2 linked regions of the Saccharomyces cerevisiae S288C genome follow. The gene in region 1 interacts genetically with each later gene. Each region holds a gene or a part of one and is shown in the gene's direction. Other genes may lie near its edges.

Evidence for each region.
Region 2: of YCH1 (region 1) and RDL1, changing one enhances a phenotype caused by changing the other (phenotypic enhancement), as found in Saccharomyces cerevisiae (one study listed by BioGRID).

What each region holds. Positions count from the first base shown.
Region 1 is NC_001139.9:903,626-906,218, forward strand, and holds YCH1 (phosphatase YCH1), read left to right. Parts: upstream 1-1,611; coding exon 1,612-2,058; downstream 2,059-2,593. Other genes in the region: PCT1 (choline-phosphate cytidylyltransferase), read right to left, coding at 1-1,123; trifunctional formate-tetrahydrofolate ligase/methenyltetrahydrofolate cyclohydrolase/methylenetetrahydrofolate dehydrogenase ADE3, read left to right, coding at 2,309-2,593. UniProt on the Saccharomyces cerevisiae protein: Protein phosphatase.
Region 2 is NC_001147.6:847,814-850,632, forward strand, and holds RDL1 (thiosulfate sulfurtransferase RDL1), read left to right. Parts: upstream 1-1,821; coding exon 1,822-2,241; downstream 2,242-2,819. Other genes in the region: YOR283W (phosphoglycerate mutase), read left to right, coding at 1-332; HUA2 (Hua2p), read left to right, coding at 665-1,396; thiosulfate sulfurtransferase RDL2, read left to right, coding at 2,467-2,819. UniProt on the Saccharomyces cerevisiae protein: Thiosulfate:glutathione sulfurtransferase (TST) required to produce S-sulfanylglutathione (GSS(-)), a central intermediate in hydrogen sulfide metabolism.

The sequences.
Region 1 (2,593 bases):
CCTGACTGAAAAGATTTCCATTGTCATCCGGTGATTTAGCGGTAGAGTTTTCGCCCGTAAATTCGTTGGCAAACTCTGTAGCCGGAGAGGCCTCCCTGATTAGCTTCCTAGTAAACGGATCATCCAAAAAATTCTGTTTTCTTTGTCGTTGATTTTGTTTCTTTAATTCATTGCCTATTAACTTGGAGTAGAGTTTTTTGCCCAACGTTTTCTTTAGCAAGATTTCACGGACTTCGAAGTACAAGTCTCTGGAGGCGTTATTCAAATTTGTCTGGTTTTTCTTGAAATATGACCTGAATTCATTGATGTGTTTTTTGAACTCCAGTTCGTTTTTCTTCAACCAAGAAACGTTCAGCTCCTGTCTGGTAGCACCCCTTGCAAAGTTTCTCATCAAATATTTGTCATAATCTCTGATGATCTTTGTGATAATATCACTTGTAGAGACACCATTGGTTCTTTGGGTAGTCAAGAATTTTCCCATCTCCTTTATTGGCTTGTAGATATCGTCGCTGTCGGCGCTAACGTAAGGAATATCGTCATGTGCCACGTAGTCAATCTTGTGTTCTAGTAGAAATTCTGGGGTGACACACCAGGGAGCGTTGGGCACGACTTCGTCAACCCATCTGCAGTGCGTTAAAGTTTCACAACGCTGCTTATCGGTCAGCACAGTCAAACCTTTTAGTTTGTGAGTGATTTTGTCGCTAGGCACACCAACTATCAGTGTTACATTGGGGAAAGCCTTCTTACACTGTTCCAGTTGCTTCATGTGGCCAAGATGGAAAAGATCAAAAACACCATCTGCATATATCCTGATGGGTCTATCCGTTGGAGGCAAATTGAATCTGAAACCTTTAGGACGATACTTGCGCAGTTCCTTGGGCAACTCGTTGGTGTAACGAGCCTCCTTCTCTTCAAACTCCTTCGTCAACCGGCGACGCTTGCGGGGAGTGAGCTGTGTGTCCTTATTTTCATCCTGGTTCTTACTCTCATCCTTATCCTCATTGTCCTGCTCTTCCGTTTCCTCACGCTGTCTTTTATTTTTATTTTTTTTAAATAGGTTTGATAGCGATGAGTTAGAAAGCTTAGCCCTAATCGAGGACTTCCCTGTTGTTGGGTTTGCCATTTTTCTTTGTGTCTGCTGTGCTTTGTACTACCAAGAGAGAATAGCAAGAGTGAAATTTGAAAGTTAAACAATACAATAAAGAAAAGTGACTGGCGTATGCAAGAAAGGGGAATGGGTATAAAAAATACAAGAACGGCAGAAAAAATAAAAGAAACAGGAGAAACAAACAATGGTAACTGTACTAAAACCAATACCAGATATATATTTCATACTTATTAAAAAGCGTTAAGAAACGAAGCGTAAAAACGTAAGAAAAAGAATGACTATATAACGGTAGGTCTTCGACTCATTTTTTTCTTCCTACATGCAAACGACAAATACGGGTAATGCACATTTCGCTTATTGGGTTCTTCCCTTTCCTTTTTTCCATTTTTTTCTTTCTGGCTGTCGCTAGCCTTTCTACTTCCTCCGCACATACAGTTTTCAGCACAGTATAGATAGCTGTGCAGCCAGATAGAAGCAAAAGAGAAGTCAATTGCAAAAAAAATATGGACTCGTACTCAATAACAAACGTAAAATACCTGGATCCGACTGAATTGCATCGTTGGATGCAAGAAGGACACACTACTACGCTGAGGGAGCCTTTCCAGGTAGTGGATGTGCGAGGCTCAGATTATATGGGGGGCCATATCAAGGACGGATGGCACTACGCCTATTCGCGCCTTAAGCAGGATCCGGAGTACTTACGTGAGCTAAAGCACAGATTGTTGGAAAAGCAAGCGGACGGCCGCGGAGCGCTGAACGTGATTTTCCATTGTATGTTATCGCAGCAGCGCGGACCGTCTGCAGCGATGCTGCTGCTTCGGTCGCTTGACACGGCGGAACTTTCTCGCTGTCGTCTATGGGTGTTGCGTGGGGGGTTCTCGCGCTGGCAATCCGTATACGGTGACGACGAGAGCGTTACGGCGGGTTACCTACCCGATCTGTGGCGTTGACAGGTTTACACAATCGCACGTGATCATATATTTGCCATGACTCCTCCCAGTGACAATTTTGTTCTTTTTTCCTCTTTATCGCTTTCGTACTATGGTCAGTCATTCATTCATTATATACGCGCTCTCCATAACCCGTAACTTTTTATTATATATAGACTCGTTTACAATACAACGATAGCGATACCATTCAATTGAAGTTGTGAGACCAGGTAACGAGACGAACACAACTTTACAAGTCAAATAAGAAATCATGGCTGGTCAAGTGTTGGACGGCAAAGCATGCGCTCAGCAGTTTAGAAGCAATATTGCTAATGAAATCAAAAGCATTCAAGGTCACGTGCCTGGGTTTGCACCTAACCTTGCCATCATTCAAGTAGGCAACAGACCAGACTCAGCCACATATGTACGCATGAAGCGTAAGGCAGCTGAAGAGGCCGGCATTGTTGCTAATTTCATTCATTTAGATGAATCCGCTACTGAATTTGAAGTTCTGCGTTACGTGGACCAGCTGAATGAGGACCCACATACACACGGT
Region 2 (2,819 bases), on another chromosome or scaffold:
ATAAACATGGTGAAGGCTCCTTTAGAAATTTTGGGGAAAAAAGTGACGATTTTGTTGCTAGGTTAACTGGATGTGTCGAAGAAGAAGTTGCTGAAGCATCTAATGAAGGTGTCAAGAATCTAGCCCTAGTTAGTCATGGAGGTGCTATCAGAATGATTTTACAATGGTTAAAGTATGAAAATCATCAAGCTCATAAGATCATTGTTTTCAACACCTCTGTCACTATAGTTGATTACGTCAAGGACTCCAAGCAGTTTATTGTGAGACGTGTCGGAAACACCCAACATCTTGGTGATGGCGAATTTGTCGTCAGTGACTTAAGATTACGTTAGACACTATATGGTTATTCACTGTTGGGTTTTTCTCATTTTGTATTAGAAATGCGGTTTAGGTAGTAATAGAAATTTCGCATGCGTGTATTTTATTTTAAAACATATAGTTCGTAAGGGTTTATCTAAATGCAGTAGATGTTCATAAATTATAGGGGTTTTATGTTTTTATATTATTGATATAGTTTTTCACATGAGATGAGAACGACGCGTTTATTTTAAAGGAAAGAAAACTGTGTCGTAATATGTAACAAGACTACATTGATACTCCATAGCAGAGAAATGGATATGTTCTGTCGGTGGTAAATTCAGGTGAATTGTATATCAGTGAAACTATGCAACAAACAAAATTTGGCAAGATGTATTTGGACCACGATTCGGTAGTTGAGTACTCAGAAGATGAAATTGTCGAAGCCGATCGTATTACATTGGGCTATAAAAAGAGATTGTCAATGATTGAAAATCAAATGCGACATCTTTTGGAGGATTTTAGTTTGGACGTTCAGCAGATTGAACCCATTCTTGCCGACTTGCAGAAGTACTACGACGCGTTTCTACAACTTTTACAGAAAAGGAACAAATCATTACAATGTAAGAGGTCCACTCACCAGCCGGTCCCATCCCCAATGAATAGCCAGACATCAACAAATGCAAAGGTTAATTTGAGCGGAAAGCTTATGAAGTTTCAGCTAAATAGTGTACAAAAGTTCGACGAAGAAAATATACTAAGGATTCTGCAAAATAAAATAGAATTCGAACATTATTTCCAAATTGATAAAGGTAAGAAGCAAAAGGTGCTATTACTTGCCGTATATCAATGCCTCAATGGGCCAACACGTTTGCATAAAGTGCTTAATATTGAGGGAATTATACATAATAATAGTATCAGAACTATACTGGGCAAACAAGTGTCCAGTTCTAAGTGGACAGTGTTTCTGTACGATGTAAAACTAGTTTTATTGGCGCATAGACAAGATGTTCCGAACTTAGAAACTAGCAAGATGATCGTCAGATATGGTGATTTATTTCCCTGTGCATTGTACTTCAAAGATCATACAGCATACTAAGCGCTTTCCAGGGACACCTTCTGTCGCAAAATATCAGAATTTTTCTTGATTAAACGCAGCATATTGAGTATATGAAATTAACGGGACACTGTGTGAAAAATTTGTAGTTGTACTTTTTTGTTATCCCCTTTGGTAGACATATGGACGAATTACTACTAAGATTGGCTTCCATAAGGCCCAAATCCAGATATCACCTACGGTATGTCCTTTTCCTACTTGCAATGACAAATAATTTGTTATTTATCTTGGAACCTATATAAGTTACATCTGATTGCTTTTGTATTTTTTTTGGAGAATATTATTACCCGCGGGGAAGGAAGTAAGGGGAGAATTTTTGAGGTGTATAAAAGAGAGTGGAGGCTTAATCAATCAAAGAATTCTTTCTCGTTTATTTTCAGGGTTTGTGACTAAGAAACGATATTAAAATGTGGAAGGCCGTGATGAATGCTTGGAATGGAACCGAGAGTCAAAGTAAGAATGTTTCAAATATTCAATCTTACAGTTTTGAAGACATGAAAAGAATCGTTGGAAAGCATGATCCTAATGTGGTTTTGGTAGATGTTAGAGAACCATCTGAGTACTCGATTGTTCATATTCCTGCTTCCATCAATGTGCCATATAGATCGCACCCTGACGCATTTGCCTTAGATCCTTTAGAATTTGAGAAACAGATTGGCATCCCAAAACCTGACAGTGCCAAGGAGCTAATATTTTATTGTGCTTCTGGCAAACGCGGGGGAGAAGCTCAAAAAGTCGCCTCCTCACATGGATATTCAAACACCTCACTATATCCTGGCTCTATGAATGATTGGGTTTCTCATGGGGGTGATAAACTTGACTTATAGCCTTGTATACTCTAGGTATGTACCCTGTGTATTTTCGTAAGCTAGTAACGTATTATGCCATTTATGTCACACCGTTCATAATATTTGCCTATTGCATTGGCTGTGATAGCGGCGGCGCAAAGAAATTAGGAAGTATAAAAAAAAAAATACAAAACTTAATCTGAATGGAATAAGATAGCGATAACTCTCAACAAATGGAAGCGAGACAGAAGAAAAAGACCAACGATGTTCAAGCATAGTACAGGTATTCTCTCGAGGACAGTTTCTGCAAGATCGCCTACATTGGTCCTGAGAACATTTACAACGAAGGCTCCAAAGATCTATACTTTTGACCAGGTCAGGAACCTAGTCGAACACCCCAATGATAAAAAACTATTGGTAGATGTAAGGGAACCCAAGGAAGTAAAGGATTACAAGATGCCAACTACAATAAATATTCCGGTGAATAGTGCCCCTGGCGCTCTTGGATTGCCCGAAAAGGAGTTTCACAAAGTTTTCCAATTTGCTAAACCACCTCACGATAAAGAATTGATTTTTCTTTGTGCGAAAGGAGTAAGAGCCAAAACTGCCGAAGAGTT